5 linked regions of the Callithrix jacchus genome follow. The protein of the gene in region 1 purifies or fractionates together with the protein of each later gene. This does not show direct contact. Links are inferred from orthologs where the notes say so. Each region holds a gene or a part of one and is shown in the gene's direction. Other genes may lie near its edges.

Region 1 (4,300 bases):
CCTGGGAGCCAGGGTCACAGTCCCCCAACCCAACCCTCTGGCCCTTGGGGCTGGGCACAGTGCTCAGGGCTCCTTTTGCTCCATTACATCACATTTTGCTACAGTGGCTTGTCAACTGGCTCCGCACTTTCCTACTTGTCCCCTCCGTTCATCCTCCAGAATGGTGGTCATTTTATCTGCTCCCGCCACAGCCCAGCCCCTCGTGAAACACAGTCAGCCTTCCATACATAGCTGTGGTTTCTGCATCCATAAACTCAACTAATCTCGGGTGGGAAAAAAAGTGTTGAAAAAAAGGATGTGGCCAGGTGCAGTGGCTCGTGCCTGAAATCCCAGCTCTTTGGGAGGCCGAGGTGGGTGGATCACCTGAGGTCAGGAGTTTGAGACCAGCCTAGTCAACATGGTGAAACCCCATCTCTTCTCAGCTACTTGGGAGGGTTGCCTCCTACCTTCCAACTCCACATGTGTCTTCATAACAGCATTTATCATAGTTGCATTTTTTTTTTTTTAAAGAGAGACAGGTTCTTCCTTTGTTGCCCAGGCTGGAGTGCAGTGGTACAATCAGCTCACTATAACCTTGAACTCCTAGGCTCAAGGGATCTTCCCCTCTCCACTTCCGAAGCAGCTGGGGCTACAGGCGCACAGCACCACGCCACACCCAGCTTATTTATTTTAAAATTTTTGTAGAGACAGGGACTTGGTGTATTGTCCAGTCTGGTTTTAAACTCCTGGCTTTAAGTGATGCTCTCTGCCTTGGCCTCCTAAAGAGTTGGGATTACAGGCATGAGCCACTGTGCCCAACCACAGCTGCAATTTCAGTAGACTGAACCGTATGAAATCATCAGTGGTGGGCCACTTTTTTACTCACTGGATTATTCAATCAGATACATGATTGCTTTGAGACTTTTAGTTTCACTAGCTTCGGGCGGTAGGAGCCAAGAGACTGAGCCTGGTTTCCCGTCCCACTGCAGGGCTCAGGTAAGCAAAGGAATGGAGGTGGAAAGTGTCCCTTCCCTCCCATGCTCATCTGATGCACCAGCCAAACCAAATACCATCTGGGCCTTTGAATATTGCCAGTCCTTATCCGCTGTTGTCATTTTGCCCACCTCCACAGCTGCAGAAACAGCCGTAGGCCGGGAACTGGGATATCTGTTCCTAGGGGCCCGCCTATCTGCTCAGTTGCATTGCCTGTTTCAGGGGTTGGGAAGCTAAGGCACGAGCCTGGTGTCCAAACGTGCCCAGACCACTCAGGCTTCCAGATATTAGGTCCTTCTCCTTCAAACCTCACTTCGTTTCTTTTCCCCTGGGCTCCGTTCCAGTCCTGGCTGTAAGACTGGGAAAGCAGTGGCTATTTTTGTCCGTGAGAAGCTTTCCTTTCTACACCACGACTTGGGAGGCAGCCTGGGAGGAAGAGAAATTAGCCGTGGCTCCTTTAAGAAGTCCGCGGAGGCGCTCCCGGCCTTTTGTTTCAGCGGCGGCGCGCGCGTCAGCGTCAACGCCAGCGCCTGCGCACTGAGGGCGGCCTGGTCGTCGTCTGCGGTGGCGGCGGCTGAGGAACCCGGCTGAGGCGCCGGTACCCGGCCCGGTGCGCATTTCGCCTTCTGGCTTCGGCTTCCCTTGGCCTGGCACTCGCCGGCCACGCCCAGGCCCCACCCCAGCCCTCCGGATCCCTCGCAGACCGGCTCCGGCCGCCCGTCTCTGCCGCCGCAATGATGATGATGGCGCTGAGCAAGACCTTCGGGCAGAAGCCCGTGAAGTTCCAGCTGGAGGATGACGGCGAGTTCTACATGATCGGCTCCGAGGTAGCCTGCGGCGCGTCCTCGCCCTCCCCGGGCTCGGCCCCGCGGGAGCCCCAGGGCGGGCCCGTGCGCCGAAAGCGGGCGTCTCCATTCATCGGGGCGGGCGGGCGCGCGCGCGCTCCGGACTGTGGGGCGTGACCTGTGGGCGTGGCCCCGCCCCCTCATCTATCTGGGTTTCTTTACCCATTTCGCCGAGGTCTGCCGCCTGCAATGCTGCCAGGGCTTTATGGCGCCGCGAGTGGTTCCATTAGTTCCCTGCTGGGTTGGTTTCCAGCCAGACTCAAAGAAGTGGAATGTTGGGTTAGCCCCTGAGACGCTTGGGGGACCGCACTGCTGCCTTTGACTCTTTTTAGATGTCGTAAATTTCACGTGCACCCCTCCCCACATTGCCACTTGTGGGATCCTGAAATGGCAGGCTGAAAACTCCCGGGCTTAGTGAGGGCTCATCCCTATTGTGTTTGTTTGTTGCTTCTTAGGTGGGCAGTAGAGGTGTTTTGACCTTTGTTTACTAGTGAAGAAACAGATCGGAGGGAGATGTTTGCTTTTGGGTGGGTAAAGGCCCCATGCCTAAGCTGATTCTTTGAGCAATTCTGAAGCAATTGACATTTTCCATATCTGTGAACTGATTCTGAATTATTACAGGGGCAGGAGAACAAGGATCTTTAATCCTTAAGTAGAGTGGCAGTATTTTGTTGCATCAACTGATTGACTGACGTTGGAAAAACCTTCAATTGGCAATTAAACGGGTGTTTATGCCAAATATATTAGGTTCTTGTTTTTTGTCATTTGTTTATTTATTTTTGAGACAGAGTCTCGCTCTGTCACCAGGATGGAGTGCAGTGGTACGATCTTGGTTCACTGCAACCTCCGCTTCCCAGGTTCAAGCAGTTCCCTGCCTCAGCCTCCTGAGTAGCTGGGATTACAAGCGTCTGCAACCACGCCCGCCTAGTTTTTGTGTTTTTAGTAGAGACAGGGTTTCATCACGTTGGCCAGGCTGGTCTGGAACTCCTGACCTCATGATCCACCCGCCCCGGCCTCCCCAAGTTCTGGGATTACAGGCGTGAGTGAGCCACTATGCCTGGCCTTATTAATAGTTTTTATCTTACTTTATTTTAGAAAAAAGGTCTCACTCTGTTGCCCAGGCTTTGGTACAGTGGTGCATCTCAGCTCACTGCAGCCTTGACTTCCTGGGGTCAAGTGATCCTCCTGCCTCAGCCTCCCAAGTAGTTGGGACTACAGGTGTACATCACCATGCCCGGCTAATTTTTGTGTTTTTTTTGTAGAGATGGGGTTTTGCTGTGTTGCCCAGGCTGGTCTTGAACTCCTGGGCTCAAGTGATCCTTGTACCTCAGCCTCTTAAAGTGCCAGAATTTCAGGTGTGAGCCACCACGCTCACACTCAGCCCATTCATACTTTTTAAACTTGTGGGTTTTTGCCTTCACAATTGAGCATAGCATGAAGGAATGAAGCCTCAAGATGGTCACGCTGAGTCCCATGGGTGAGAGTAAGGTCAATAGCATCAGAACTTTAGTGTTAGCATTTCTCCACCTTTTTTTTTTTTTTTTTTTTTGAGGGGAACAACGTCTGACTCTGTCACTCAGGCTGGAGTGGAGTGGTGCAATCTCAGCTCTCTGCAACCTCCACCTCCCGGGCTCAAGCCATCCTCCCACCTCAGTCTCTCAAGCATCTGGGACTACGGCACACACCATCACGCCTGGCTAATTTTTACATTTTTAGTAAAGATCGGGTTTCACCATATTGCCCAGGTTGGTCTTAAAAAATTCAGACGTTCAAGCGATCTGCCCACCTCAGCCTCCCAAAGTGCTGGGATTATAGGTGTGAGCCACTGTAGCTGGCCTCCATCAATTTTTATAAAACAAAAAGTGAAGGATGCAATAAAATTTTCACGTTGTCACTTGAATTGCAACTGTTCGAAGATGGCAGTGCTGGGGAGATGGAGCCATTGCCTGTCCTTGTGCCGCAGTTCAGCATTGTCCTCATTGGCCAGTAGACACCTGCCTAACTGCAGGATGCAAAAGGTGTTGAGTTTCATCATGTGATACTAGGCGAGTTGTTTACCTGATCTAATGGGTATAAAAGTAGTTAGTTTGGCTCAGAGTGGGTGACACTTTAAAAGAAAGCTTTCATTTATTAATTGGAGCAAATTGAGAAGCTGTAAGTGGCCAAGTGGGAAGAACCTTGGGAGGCCTGGTTCCAGCCCTGCTCTGCCTTCGTGTCACGTTTCTCATGTGTAAAATGTGATGCTTAGACTAAATGGTTTCCAGGATCTTCCCCAAAGCACATTTTAGTTTCTGGAAAGCTAATTACAGTCTTGTTTTTCAGCCCCCTTCACTCCTGGGCTTCCCAGTAAGAATAGTCTTCCTGAGGCCCAGCCTATGAGAGACTCAGATGGAGAGGCAGTTTGTTCTCTTGGGCCTGACTTAATCATCAGACCTTTGGAGTTTAGGCAAGGGTTCAAGGTCAGAGCTCTATTGAAATCAGTA
Region 2 (3,052 bases), on another chromosome or scaffold:
AGTGCTGGGATTACAGGCGAGAGCCACTGTGCCCAACCTTCCTTGAGTCCTTTTTAGCTCTGTCCCTTTCCCTCCTGCTTTTGCAGTTCTCAGTGGTCATTTACAGCTTTGGAATTTCTACTCTGTAGAGTAACTGGAGTAGTGAGTGAAGGGAGCATTCAGAATGAGCACGGCCTCAAGCGTCCTAACCAGGGGCTTGGGCCTTCTAGCAACATATATACCACTGTTAAGGACATAGGAGAGTGGTATTCAAGAGATGGAAATCCCATAGGTACCCATGTCTCACCATGTCTTGGAGGCATTCTTCTCTGTTTGACAGATGTATAAACGGGCCCAGAGAAACCTACAAATGATTTACTTGGGGTGCCGTGGCGGCAAGGTCTCTTGACTATTTTCTCCCCTGCCCCAATCAGAGCTTCCATACAACGACTACTTCGAATACTTTGGACCAGATTTCAAGCTCCACATCAGTCCTTCCAATATGACTAACCAGAACACGAATGAGTACTTGGAGAAGATCAAGTGAGTATATCCTCCGGCCACTCCTAGGTTGAACATTCCTGACTCTGGTTTGTCCCTGACCAGAGCCCTACTACTCTCCCATTGGCCACAGACAGCGACTGTTTGAGAACCTGAGGATGCTGCCGCATGCACCCGGGGTCCAAATGCAGGCGATTCCTGAGGACGCCATCCCTGAGGAGAGTGGTGATGAAGACGAAGAAGACCCTGACAAGCGCATCTCGAGTAAGACCTAGACCCAGAGCCCTGTGCCTTCCACTCAGTAGGCAGCTCCGACTTCCACCACCATTCCTGGCTGCACATTTCCTCCAAGCTCTCCACCTGTTCAGAAATTTGTTTCTAGTTCCAGTGCCTGTAGGCACAAGTTAGGAAGCTTGAGTTCCTCCCTATTCTCTGGTTCCCTCTCCTTTGGTGTCTCTTGGAGGACACGCAGGGAAGCACTGGGCACAGATGCTAAGCTAGATCGGCACCCACCTGCCTCTCACCCATGCTTCCCACTCCTGCCCAGTCTGCTCCTCTGACAAACGAATTGCCTGTGAGGAAGAGTTCTCAGACTCTGAAGAGGAGGGAGAGGGGGGCCGCAAGAACTCTTCCAACTTCAAAAAAGCCAAGAGAGTCAAAACAGAGGATGAAAAAGAGAAAGAGCCAGAGGAGAAGAAAGGTGGGTTTGGGTTCAGCCGGGACTTGGGTCTTGAGACTGGGAGGATGAATCTATGTAGGGCAGTGGGAGGAGGGAGTGACTCAGGCCCTGCCAGCTCCTGTGGGGCTCTTCCTCAGCTCCTTGAGCCTTTCAGTGGCTCCCAGAAGTGGCAGGGCCCACAAAACAATGAACTTCTACTGGCTGAGTTCAGCTCTCACATACCACCCAACCCCTTTTCCCAGCACTGCACCCCAGTTTCCCAGGGGGCTGCCTCCACCCACTAGGTTCTGGCTGTAGCAGGCTGGGAAACCGGTCCAACCTGTTCTCAACAGGGCTCACTGGGAGGACCAGGGATGGGCTTTTCTCTTTCGTTTGTCCAGTGAGCTGGAGTGTTGGGGAAGGGGTCTTAGGGTAAATGAAGACCTCATGGGGCTTTCCAGAGGGGCTACCCTTGGCCATCCCTGTACTCTTATGTTCTAGAAGTCACAGAAGAGGAGAAAACCAAGGAGGAGAAGCCAGAAGCCAAAGGGTGAGGAAGGAGTTGCCTGTGGCCATCTCCCTGGCATTGGAGCACCAGCCCCTTTGTCCCACCACTCTGAGGAAAGGCACAGCGACAGCTGGTCCAGCTTACAAAGGCCTCATTGAGGGAGCAGTCTGTCTCTGCAGTTCTAGGCAGAGCTAGGAAGCTCCAGCCCCCAGTAGTCACCTGGGATCCTGTGGAAGTCACTGTCTCTGCACTTTTGCCCCGAAGCTCTGGGGTGGGTCATCTCATGCCAGTCTCTGCTTTCTCCACAGGGTCAAAGAGGAGGTCAAGTTGGCCTAAGCAGACCTCTCCAGCTTTGGCTTCCTGCCGAGTCCCTCACCTTTCTCTTCTAACCCCTCAGATTTTATATTTTCTATTTCTCTGTGTATTTATATAAAAATTTATTAAATATAAATATCCCCAGGGACAGAAACCAAGGCTCTGAGCCCAGGGCAGCTGTACTGGGTGAGCTTTCAGGAGTTGCCTTGCCACCCATCTTAACTTTGAACCACAAAGGGTGCCAGGTCTAAGTGAAAGGGATACTTTTATGCAACCATAAGACAAAATCCTGAAATGCCAAGTGCCTGCTTAGTAGCTTTGGAAAGGCGCCCTTATTGAACATTATAGAAGGGGTGGCTGGGTTTTCAAGGATCTCCTGTTCTCTTCAGGCTCCTAAGGTAACATCAGCCATTTTTAGATTGGTTCTGTTTTCATACCTTCCCACTGGCCTCAAGTGAGCCAAGAAAGTCGCACTGCCTGCCCTCTGTCTTCCCCTAATTCTGCAGGTGGAGGAGGTAGTCTAGTTTTCCTTTTTGAGATACTATTTTCATTTTTGTGAGCCTCTTTGTAATAAAATGGTACATTTCTATATCCTCCTGAGCTTGTTTCTTATGTGTCTCTGAGTTGGTTTCAACTCTACTTCCCTGCCCTTCTGGTGTCCATGAGTATTGGGGCAACCCCCTGAACAAGAAAACCCCATAAAACTTACCTGCCTGCCTTAACTCCTCCCTCGAGGCTTGAGGTGAACTAGTTTCCACCAATCTTCTCACCCTACCCACAGAAGACCACTCATTAAAGCACCACTAAAGGGACGACATTTATTCCTTTTCCAAATGTTACAGTAAAACCAGGTGGAAGAGAATGGTTTTAGCAGTTAGAAAAAAAAAAAAAAGTACAAATCTGGGGTTTGGCCATTAAAAGTTATTTACAACAATGGGAGAAAAAAAAGACAACAAGAAGTTGTTTCACATTACAGACCTCCCCCCACCCCAAAGCCTAATACTTGCTTACCAAGTCAAAAAAGAGACACAGTTGATTCACAAGCTGGAGGTTTGAACTTGAGTAAGACATTTATAAAAACCTAGACGGGG
Region 3 (3,500 bases), on another chromosome or scaffold:
GTGATGGGCCCATCTTGCCCAAGTGAAAAAGGTGCCTGTGATGCCTGTGTGACCTTGGTCCCCAGGTGCTGTGAATGCAGAAGTGGAGAGTATAACATCCATTCTGGGCCTATCCGTATGCTTCACTAAGAAAACAAGGAGACTGTGATGAGGTTGACAGGTTACCAAGAGCACTGTAATGCCAAGGAGAAAACCAGGCCTTGCCAAAGGGCACTTCCTAATTCCCACCATCTTTGGTGCTGTGGAAAACCTGTCTTGTTTTGTGAGACTGTGCCCAGATGGCAGGTAAATCAACTCTAACTTATTACTAACTATAGGTTACACTCATAGCCCTTCTAGTTTTTCTTTTCTCTCATACTTATTATTTTGAAAAATTTCAAACATACAGAATGTCAAGAATACTCTTATTTCATCACCTTACATATTTATTTCCTTGTGTTAGAACTTTTAAAATCTATTGTTTTAGCAATTTTTAAATATGCATGATTGTTAACTGTAGGTACCATTCCGCACCTACATTAAAACTTCTCCTAACTGAAACTTTGTCTTTTGACTAACATTCACCCCGACCCTACCCCCAGTCCCTGATTCCACATAGTAATGAGCTCATGTTGTATTTGTCCTTCTGTGCCTGGCTTATTTCACTTAACATAATGTCCTCCAGGTTTATCTATGTTGTTGCAAATGACAGAATTTCCTTGAAAGAGGAACATTCTTATATACCTAGATTTAAGAGCTGTTAACATTTGCCATACTTGCTTTGTTCCTTAGAGCTTTTTCAGAATGGAGGGCAAGTTGTATGCATGTATACATAAACACCTCAGCATGTATCTCCTAAGAACAAGGATGCTCCCTACAGAATGGCAATGCCATTATCACACTTAAGAAAATTAATAATTCCCTAGTATCTGATGCCCAGTCCACATTCAGATCTCTTCAGTTGTCTACAAAATGATTTTCATAGCTTTTATTAAAAGAATCAGGATTTCATTAAGGAGTGACATTATTTTTGGCTGTTATGTCTTTTTAGCCTTTTTAAATCTACAGCACCCCCCTTCCACTTTTAAAAATGCATTTATGACATTGACTTTGTAAATAATCCAGTCACATCCTTCTAGTTTTGTATCCAGATGTATAGGCATTCAGCATTGATGTAATCAACAAAGACTTAACAGGCTTCCTCAAGAAGCCATCCTGTCTTCAAAACCCTATAAGCAGGTATGGTACACTCTCACCACACTGAAGACTTTGGGTTTGGCCTGGTGACATCCGCAGTGCTAATTTCAAGCACCTTTCTGGGAAATGGGAGTCGGATCTCAGCCCTCCCACTCACTCACTGAGTGATCTTCAGCTGGTCCCTTCTCCCTCAGCTTCAGTTCCTTCATCTCCCAAACAAGGGCATTGGACCTGGTGCCTCCTAGGTCTCACTCAGGTTTGCCATTCAGCACCTCTGTGACTCTGCCCACAGATTCTCACCTCAGCATAGCTGCTTCCTGAAGCAGCTGCCTGTGCCCATTCCTGGCACTGAATGCGGGAAGTCGGGGGGGACACATGGTCCTCTACCATGACCATACTCTCATCTCTGTTCCTCACAGCGGAGATTCTGGAGCTGGCTGGCAATGCAGCGAGAGACAACAAGAAGGGACGGGTCACGCCCCGGCACATCCTGCTGGCTGTGGCCAATGATGAAGAGCTGAATCAGGTATGGGACTCTCCCACCCATCCCCCACTGATGCTTGAGGAGGTGGTCATAGTGCCCAAGAAACATAGCTGAGTGTGGACTGCATTTTGGATTAATTAGCAGATTCCCTGCCTCCCATGGCAGTTTTTCCCCCAAGGCCTTATTGGGAGTGTTGGGGGAAGTAGGATAAAACAGGGTATTTGGCTCTCCCTGAAGGAGAGAGATTATCTGAATTCCATTCAAGTAAGGGACTCTGGGGACTGGATTCCTGAGCTATGAGCCTGAGTCCTGACAGCATCCTCATGGAAAATGCCATGGAGGAAGGAGCCGCACCAACCAAAGCAAGACTGTCCTGGGCAGGGCTGGCTTCTTGATGGTCAGAAGCAGGGTATCTGGCTCACTATCTGCCATTTTGGTTTTCCTGAAAGCTGCTAAAAGGAGTCACCATAGCCAGTGGGGGGGTGTTACCCAACATCCACCCCGAGTTGCTAGCGAAGAAGCGGGGATCCAAAGGAAAGTTGGAAGCCATCATCACACCACCCCCAGCCAAAAAGGCCAAGTCTCCATCCCAGAAGAAGCCTGTGTCTAAAAAAGCAGGAGGCAAGAAAGGGGCCCGGAAATCCAAGGTACGTGATTTGGCAGGGATGTATGAAGTGGGATAGGATGGGGTACAGATAAACAGGGTTACCAGGGCTCCCCTTCCTGCTGTGGGCTCATCGCACTCATGAGGGACTAAAGGAAGAAGATGTAGGAGCTGATTACACTTCAGAGGGGCCAGTAGCCAGGAGGCCCTTCCAGAGTCTGGACCCAGGTGGAGGACAGAATCCCTGCAGGCAAGGGGGATGAACAATGAGCTTTCAGGGATAGCTCCAAGCTGGAAGGACTCCCAAGCTGTCCCTTCCAGGAAGATGTACACACCTGTGGGAAGGGGGCTTCCCTGTGCTAAGGGACAGCCATTGTCTAGTCCTGTGGTCAGCTGCCTGCATGCTCGGCTGCTCAGTTGCAGAACTCTCATTGTGTTGCTGTGGCTGTGTATCTTCTGCCAGGATGCTCCAGACAGTTCGCTTTAGAACGCTTGCCTCTGACAAGGAGGAAAATGGATGTACTACTCAGGTGCTTCCTCCTGGACCTAACTTGGATTGGCCGGGTCCTAGGTGCTGGAAACCCTCTAATTAGCATCATCTATTGTCGTCTTGGGTGGAGAAGGCCAGCAGACTCCAGGTCATGATCCTCAGTGTGGAGGAGCACCCTCCGGAGGTCCAGGCCAGTGACTGCTGTGCTCACCTGTCTCAGCATGAGCCAGAGACTACAAGGCAACTGGGATGCATTTTCTTTGTTCCTTCCTTGCTGAGTCCTACCTGTCAGCTGTTGTCACAGACTCCAGAGCCAACAAACAATAGACAGTACAACCAAAGTTTGGTCTCTAAGAAAATGGAATCTTGAGGCTGCCCTGCTCTGAAGTACCCCTTAAGGAGTCCTCCTGGCCTCCAGCCAGATCAGGAGGAAATTACCCCTAGCAGAAGGTGACTTCCCTCAATTAGAAGTCCCTGGAAATGCCCTGTGAAATCTAATGATGCAGTGTCAGGAAGTTCTTCCTACATGAGACCAAAACCTCTCATCTGAGACAGTAAGAACACCTTCCCAGGACAGGCTCAAGGAGCTGTTGCCAGGTGAACAGAGCTCCTTCTGTCCTGTCAGCACGTCCTTTCCTTTGAGCCTGCCTGTGCCTCAGACTGGCCCTTCACTGCCCCTGCATGTAGGGGCATCTTCTGTGACCTCAGCCTTTTTGCATCCACACTGTTTGTGGAACTTTCTTCAG
Region 4 (3,500 bases), on another chromosome or scaffold:
CTCCGCCCCCAATCCCAGCCGCCTGAGGGACCGCTGCCTCCAGCCCCCCACCTCCCTCCATCCTCCACATCTTCCACCGTGGCCGCCTCCTCGGAGACATCCACCAGGTTGCCAGCCCCTGTGCCATCTGACTTCCAGCTCCAGTTCACACCCAGCCAGGTGCCCCACAAGTCCCCCACCCCCCCTCCAACCCTCCACCTGGTCCCTGAGCCAGCAGTGCCCCCCCCACCACCTCCTCGGACCTTCCAGATGGTGACCACCCCCTTCCCAGCGCTGCCCCAGCCGAAGGCTCTTCTCGAGAGATTTCACCAGGTAATGGGAGGCAGGGACCGCCCACCCCACCAGCCCCCCATCCCACCCCCTCAATCTGATGGGGGTCCCCCCACCTCACGGCTCTGTGTTCCTCCCCAGCCCTGCTGCCTCTGGACACCCCACTCCTAGCCCATGTCCCCCACCCCTCATCCACCTGTCCCTCCTCAGGTGCCGTCCGGAATCATTCTCCAGAACAAGGCTGCGGGGGCTCCTGCCACCCCACAGACCTCCACCAGCCTGGGGCCTCTCACCAGCCCCACTGCTTCTGTGCTGGTCAGCGGGCAGGCCCCATCCGGGACCCCCACCACCCCCAGCCACGCCCCCGCCCCGGCACCCATGGCCACCACAGGTAGGGGAGAGGTCGCCTCCCTGCCCAGAGAGATGGGTCCTGAAGATGGGTGGAGGGCTGAGAGCAGGAGGGTGGGATGGGGCATGGCTGTGGGACTCAGCACAGGGCACCAGAACTCAAGGACGCAACGAGGGTGGAGTTGGCAGGGCGGGCTGGAGGGCCAGGAGGAAGTGGTGGGTACAGGGTAGGGCTCCCATTTGAGGGGGGGCCTTTATGCTGTGACCGCAGGCCCTGTCTCCCCCCATCCCCCACCCCCAGGCCTCCCCCCTCTGCTTCCGGCCGAGAACAAGGCTTTTGCCAGCAACCTCCCGAGCCTGAATGTGGCCAAGGCTGCTTCATCCGGGCCAGGGAAGCCCTCCGGGCTGCAGGTAAGGGGCCCTCGGAGTGGGGGTCAGGACAGGACCAAGAGTCTTCAGGGAACCAGGAACCGGGGCCAGCAAGGGCGGGGGGGCTAGGAAGATAGGGGCAGGGGGAGGCTGGGACACGACCAACAGTTGTGCAGGGCCAGGAAAGGCAGATGACACCCAGGTGGGCGGCCAGAGATGATGCAGAAACACAGAGATGGTAGGACAGAGACGGCGCCAAGATAGCTGGCGAAGGGGTGAGGGACGGTCTCTGGGGCAAGAGCAGGGGACATGGACACAGGACAGGGAGGACAGGGCTGAGACGACAAGATGGTGAGCTCAGGACAGGAGAGGCGGGGATGACATGAGACAAACCGGAGACGGAGCGGATCAGGGACCCAGAATGGAAGGGCGAGAGGGCAAGAACAGCTGAGGCCGAGGCCGTCTGTGAGGTGTGAGACGGAGGGAGACGGATGACAAGGAGAGGAGCAGGTGGGAGGACGGGGAGCAAGAAGCCAGGAGAGGAGCAGGTGGGAGGACTAGGGTGCAAGAGGCCAGGAGAGGCACAGAGACGGAGACTACGGAACAGAGGGCAGACAACGAGGACGAGAGGGGAGCCAGGAAGGGGAGAGAGACCGTGTGAGTCAGGGGTGCCGGTCTGGATGGTGACCGGAAAGCAGGCATCTGGCAGAGGAGGGAGGTCACACAGACGCAGCCCTGGGTGAGGGGACAGAGAAGACCCAGGCAAGGATGCCCAGGACTCCAGCCTGCCTGTCACCCTCTTTGTCAGCCCCCCAGCCCAGTATAGGTCTCCCCTGGGGTTCATCATGATGGGCAGGGGATCCCGCCGTTGGGCCAGGCACCCACCCAGGTGTGACACCGGTCCCCTGCCTCATTGTCATCCAGGCTGGAGGGGAAGCGGGTCAGGGCGCAGAGGGAAGGCTTCTCCGAGGCAAAGGCCTCTCACTCACCCTTCTTCCCCAGTACGAGAGCAAGCTGAGTGGCCTGAAGAAGCCCCCCATGCTTCAGCCCAGCAAGGAAGCCTGGTGAGCCCACACCCCACCCTCTCACTCCTGCCCTGTACCTTCCTGAGACCTGGGGGAGCATGGGGCCACCCTCCAGAAGCGGGGGTGGGGGCGGCGGTCCCAAGTGCCAAGCCCAGCTCCACCTCTTGATAGCAGTGTGGTTCCCTCAGACCAGAAGAAGGTGGTGGAGGGTGGGCTGTGGCTCTGAGAGGCTGGGGCTCAGATGGGCGGCAGCGTGGTCTGCCCGGGTTGTGGGTGTGCCCTCCTTGTCTCCCACACGGCTGGGCAGGGTTGGTGCTGAGCCCCACTGGGTGGGTGAAGTGCTGGGTGGAGGGAGGGAGTGGCCAGTCTTGGCTGCTGGAGGATGTGATGGGTGCGTGTTTGGGATGGAGGGATGGGAGTCTGGGTGGGTGGATGGGTACATGCTGGATGCTGGCCTGCTCTCTCTCCTGCCCTCCTTCCACCACCAGTATTTTTGTTTTGGGTATTTTTTTTTTTGAGCCAGAGTCTTACTCTGTCACCCAGGCTGGAGTGCAATAGCACAGTGTTGGCTCACTGCAACCTCTGCCTCCTGGGTTCAACCGATTCTCTTGCCGCAGCCTCCCAAGTAGCTGTGACCACAAGCGCATGCCACCTCGCCCTATTTTTAGTAGTGACAGGGTTTCACCATGTTGGCCAAGCTGATCTCGAACTCCTGGCCTCAAGTGATCCACCTACCTCGGCCTCCCAAAGTGTTGGGATTATAGGCGTGAGCCACGACGCCCAACCCACCATGAGTGTTTTTTAAAAATGCATATTTTTTCGTGGAGACCAGGTCTTACTATATTGCCCAAATATTTGTACTTGTTTTGTTTTTGAAGATGAAGTCTCATTCTGTCACCCAGGCTGGAGTGCAGTGGTGCAATCTCCACTCACTGCAACCTCTGCCTCCCGGGTTCAATGATTCTCTTGCCGCAGCCTCCCTAGTAGCTGGGACTACAGGTGTGCACCACCACACCCAGCTAATTTTTGTATTTTTAGTAGAGATGCAGTTTCACCATGTTGGCCTGGCTGGTCTTGAACTTCTGACCTCAAGTGATCTGCCCACCTCGGCCTCCCAAAGTGCTGGGAGTACAGGCGTGAGCCACCGCGCCCGGCCTAGGTTGGTGTGAAACTCCTAGGCTCAAATGATCCTCCCACCTCAGTCTCCTGAGTAGCTGGGACTACAGGCACGTGCCACCGCACTCGGCTAATTTTTTATAATTTTTGTAGAGACAGGGTCTTGCTGTGTGGCCCAGGCTAGTCTTGAACTCCTGGGCTCAGATGATCCTTCTGCTTCGGCCTCCCAGAGCGCTGGGATTGCAGGTGTGAACCCCTGCGCCTGGCCTAGAAGTGTGAGGGAAGTCCCCACTCAGCGCCCAGGCCCGGGGCTCCATGCTGGGAACACAGGAGTGAGTGCCAGAGTCCCTGCCCCCGCATGCAGAGAGGCTG
Region 5 (3,500 bases), on another chromosome or scaffold:
GCATGATGGTAGATTGTGGGGGAGATGATCTCTAATGTCTGCTTACATCCCACTCTTTGGAGTGCATGGTGAACCTGTATCTCACGGGTTTGACTTTTACAAGTTTATGCCCCTCTTCCATGGGTTAAAAACTTTTTTTTCTGCTCTCTATTCTCTTTCCCCAGCTGCAGCAGGATTCCAACAGTGTTCTCAGCCTATTTCCTTGAGGTCCCCTACCCTGCAGAATAAGCTTTTTTTTTTTTTTTTTTTTTTTTTTTTTTTTTTTTTTGGTAGGGGAGATAGAACTGGGTGGATTTCCTAGCAAATTCTGTTTCCATTTCCCAGTCAGTACTATAGACGTGCAGAGGGGAAACCTTCCCTAGATTGTCACTAATCTACCCTGTGAGAATTTGGTGGGTTTTCTGGAGGAACACCTGCAAGAGTATGAATGAACTCCTTATGGCTACAGCACCTAGAAGCTGTATGCACCACTCACACTAGCATATGCACTTCTAGCAGCAGTTAGTCAAATTTTCTAGTTTAATGTTCCTACTAGCTTATTAAATATCTGCCCCAGGTAAGCAAAAGCTTAGGTGTTTTGTGGCCTCCGATAGACACTTACGTCACTCCAGACTTAGGATGGTGGGCTATCCTGTGATCTCAATTCTTCAATGGGTTCATGAAAAAACCATTAATTTGTTGTCTGATTACCTGTTTCTTGTAAGGATGGAGGATTTTTTCCGCCCTAGTTCATTACATGCCTGCACTGAAACTGGAAGTCTACCTTATTTTAAAAATGTAAATTTTTGAAATATTTTATACCAATTTACCTGTCCCTTCACATCCTCTTTTTTTTCAAGTACACATAGAAATTTCTTTTTTAAAGGTCAAGGGTTAAGGAATAGATCTGGGAAATGCCACTAAGGTTTGGATCTGCACATTTAGAACTATTGTAAATGAGAGGAAATGGAATATACATATTTAATGTCATTCACCTGTTTGAGCTGCCAACGTAAGATTCTTAATTTTTTTTAATTAATAGGTAAATGGATTTCGCAGTTATGTAGATCTTTATGTAAAAGACAAATTGGATGAAACTGGGGTGGCCCTGAAAGTTATTCATGAACTTGCAAATGAAAGATGGGATGTTTGTCTCACATTGAGTGAAAAAGGATTCCAGCAAATCAGCTTTGTAAATAGTATTGCAACTACAAAAGTAAGTATGCAAGTTCTTTTTCCAAGTCAGTGGTAGAATAGGGCTTCATTAAAATCTACAAAATAAATAACAGTATCAACAACCTCCAAAAAACCCAAATCTGTTTTTGTTAAATAAGAATTGACTTAGGAAAATGAAAACCTATTTTCTATGAAATTGCTGTATTAAAATTTACTTAAACATTCATTGAGAAATAAGTTTATATGATTAGTGTTTATAGTTGAACATATTTATATTTTATTAATTTAGAATGATAACAAATTCCTTATTCTGTAACTTTCAGCCCCATCTTCCCCAACCTCTGGGGAGTGGAGAGGGGGCTGGTGATTGAGTTAAAAATCAATCATGGCTATGTGATAAAGCTCCATTAAAAACCCCTGAACAATGGAGTTCACAGAACTCCTAGGTTGCTGAATACATTGAGGTCTAAGAGGATGGCATGTCTGGGTAAGGTAGAGAGTTTTGTGTACCCTTCCCCCCATAGCGTGCCTTACACATCTCTTCCATTTGGTTGTTATTGATGGATCCTATATAAAAAAACTGGTCAATGAAGTAAACTGTGTTCCTGAGTTCTATGATCTGTTCTAGCAAATTTTCAATCCTGAGGAGTGGTTCATGGGAATCCCCCAATTAATAGCGGGTTGGTTAGAAGTACAGGAAGCCTAGGACTTGTGACTGACATCTGAAGTGTGGGCAGTCCTGTGGGACGGAGCCCTTAACCAACCATAAGTACTTGTGCTAACTCCAGGTAGTTATTATCAAAATTGAATCACATCGTTGAACATCGATTTGTTGTCTGAAGAATCAGAGTCCTGAACTGGGTGAAGTTTAAGGCTGTTGGTGTTGAAAGCACCCCAGAATTAGTGTTAGAATTGAAGTGAGGAAACAAACAAACGTATCAGTTGGTTTATTGGCTCTATAGCCAAAATATCTTATATTTTAAAATCCCAACTCTGATTCTGAGACTCCTATTACTGTTTTAGAAAATAGGGTTTGTAATACAGATAAAGTATTTTGCTACTTTAACAATACAAGATTTAGGATTTCATATTTTTGTTTTTTCACTAATACAAGATTTCATGTTGCATATTTTTTTTCTTTAGGGTGGACGGCACGTGGATTATGTGGTAGATCAAGTTGTTGGTAAACTGATTGAAGTAGTTAAGAAAAAGAACAAAGCTGGTGTATCAGTGAAACCATTTCAAGTAAGGGATGCATTGTACATTACATATGAAGCATATATATGCATTACATATGTGCTGAATTACTAAATAATATTAGCTCTGATGTTGACTATTTTGGTATGTTTTCAACAGGTAAAAAACCATATATGGGTTTTTATTAATTGCCTTATTGAAAATCCAACTTTTGATTCTCAGACTAAGGAAAACATGACTCTGCAGCCCAAAAGTTTTGGGTCTAAATGCCAGCTTTCAGAAAAATTTTTTAAAGCAGTGAGTAAAACTTGTATTATTTTGCATTGCTGTTATTAAGAGTTGATTAAGTAGTTTTCTTGATTTAACTTATTTATGATTAGTTTCTTTCATCATATTAACTGTGAGTATAAGCATGCTTGCACTGTAAACTAATATGCTTAATTTGATAACTTTAAAGGATAAACTTTAATGTTTCCTAAAACAATAGTTTTGCAAAGAACTAAAGTGGGGGATTATGTAACTAATTGCATTTTTAGCTTTGCATTGACCATTGTAAAGGTCAGATTTCTCCTAACAAATGTACAGGTCCTTATGTGATACTTTCATCTTTTCTACTCCGATTTCACCTTCATCTACTGATTCTTAACTTTACACATTTTAAAAAATTGTGGTAACATATGCATAACAAAATGTACTATTTTCTACATGTTTTAAAGTTTCATTCTGCTTTCCATATAATTTTTTAGGTTACCTTAACTTCTCTAAAATAAGGTGAGAGCACAAATAAATAATGAAAATTAATCAATCACAGCCTTTCCTTTTTGGAATTTCGGTGGGGGAATGTTGTATAACTGCCCTAGAACTAACGTATTTGTCAAATTCCAAAATGTAGATTATCAGAAACAAAAACAAAAGTTGTTTTTTAGTTCTAACTTAAGGCCTGTAGAAATAGTACTTTTGGATCTAATCTTAATGAATGCTGAGTATAATGAAATTATACTTAATGAAATTACCCCGTATTAATACTTTCCCAAATTTGTGTCCTCATGACAATTGCTTCTTTGATGAAGTGATTTGATTTTAAATTTTAAACTTTTTCATTTTAGGTGCAGTAAGTTTAAATTTGGCAACATAGTTCACCTCTTTCA

What was found. Proteins that work in one complex are often made in the same cells at the same time.
Region 2: the proteins of SMARCB1 (region 1) and HDAC1 purify together in Homo sapiens (affinity purification with mass spectrometry; 3 studies listed by BioGRID, with this or other methods). This does not show direct contact. The link is inferred for Callithrix jacchus from reciprocal best matches to the Homo sapiens genes SMARCB1 and HDAC1.
Region 3: the proteins of SMARCB1 (region 1) and MACROH2A1 purify together in Homo sapiens (affinity purification with mass spectrometry; 3 studies listed by BioGRID and IntAct, with this or other methods). This does not show direct contact. The link is inferred for Callithrix jacchus from reciprocal best matches to the Homo sapiens genes SMARCB1 and MACROH2A1.
Region 4: the proteins of SMARCB1 (region 1) and BICRA purify together in Homo sapiens (affinity purification with mass spectrometry; 3 studies listed by BioGRID, with this or other methods). This does not show direct contact. The link is inferred for Callithrix jacchus from reciprocal best matches to the Homo sapiens genes SMARCB1 and BICRA.
Region 5: the proteins of SMARCB1 (region 1) and TOP2B fractionate together in Homo sapiens (co-fractionation; 3 studies listed by BioGRID, with this or other methods). This does not show direct contact. The link is inferred for Callithrix jacchus from reciprocal best matches to the Homo sapiens genes SMARCB1 and TOP2B.

The regions. Positions count from the first base shown.
Region 1 is NC_133502.1:192,698,732-192,703,031, reverse strand, and holds the start of SMARCB1 (SWI/SNF-related matrix-associated actin-dependent regulator of chromatin subfamily B member 1), read left to right. Parts: upstream 1-1,500; 5' UTR 1,501-1,706; coding exon 1,707-1,799; exon of another isoform or gene 1,800-1,889; intron 1,890-3,369; exon of another isoform or gene 3,370-3,562; intron 3,563-4,300.
Region 2 is NC_133508.1:68,946,398-68,949,449, forward strand, and holds the end of HDAC1 (histone deacetylase 1), read left to right. Parts: intron 1-413; coding exon 414-522; intron 523-613; coding exon 614-744; intron 745-1,027; coding exon 1,028-1,180; intron 1,181-1,639; coding exon 1,640-1,688; intron 1,689-1,954; coding exon 1,955-1,982; 3' UTR 1,983-2,552; downstream 2,553-3,052. UniProt on the Homo sapiens protein: Histone deacetylase that catalyzes the deacetylation of lysine residues on the N-terminal part of the core histones (H2A, H2B, H3 and H4).
Region 3 is NC_133503.1:33,798,629-33,802,128, reverse strand, and holds part of MACROH2A1 (core histone macro-H2A.1), read left to right. Parts: intron 1-1,595; coding exon 1,596-1,702; intron 1,703-2,109; coding exon 2,110-2,307; intron 2,308-3,500. UniProt on the Homo sapiens protein: Variant histone H2A which replaces conventional H2A in a subset of nucleosomes where it represses transcription. Nucleosomes wrap and compact DNA into chromatin, limiting DNA accessibility to the cellular machineries which require DNA as a template.
Region 4 is NC_133523.1:41,628,586-41,632,085, forward strand, and holds part of BICRA (BRD4-interacting chromatin-remodeling complex-associated protein), read left to right. Parts: coding exon 1-312; intron 313-480; coding exon 481-661; intron 662-919; coding exon 920-1,029; intron 1,030-1,911; coding exon 1,912-2,051; intron 2,052-3,500. UniProt on the Homo sapiens protein: Component of SWI/SNF chromatin remodeling subcomplex GBAF that carries out key enzymatic activities, changing chromatin structure by altering DNA-histone contacts within a nucleosome in an ATP-dependent manner.
Region 5 is NC_133518.1:64,023,762-64,027,261, reverse strand, and holds part of TOP2B (DNA topoisomerase 2-beta), read left to right. Parts: intron 1-1,021; coding exon 1,022-1,195; intron 1,196-2,298; coding exon 2,299-2,400; intron 2,401-2,511; coding exon 2,512-2,649; intron 2,650-3,500. UniProt on the Homo sapiens protein: Key decatenating enzyme that alters DNA topology by binding to two double-stranded DNA molecules, generating a double-stranded break in one of the strands, passing the intact strand through the broken strand, and religating the broken strand.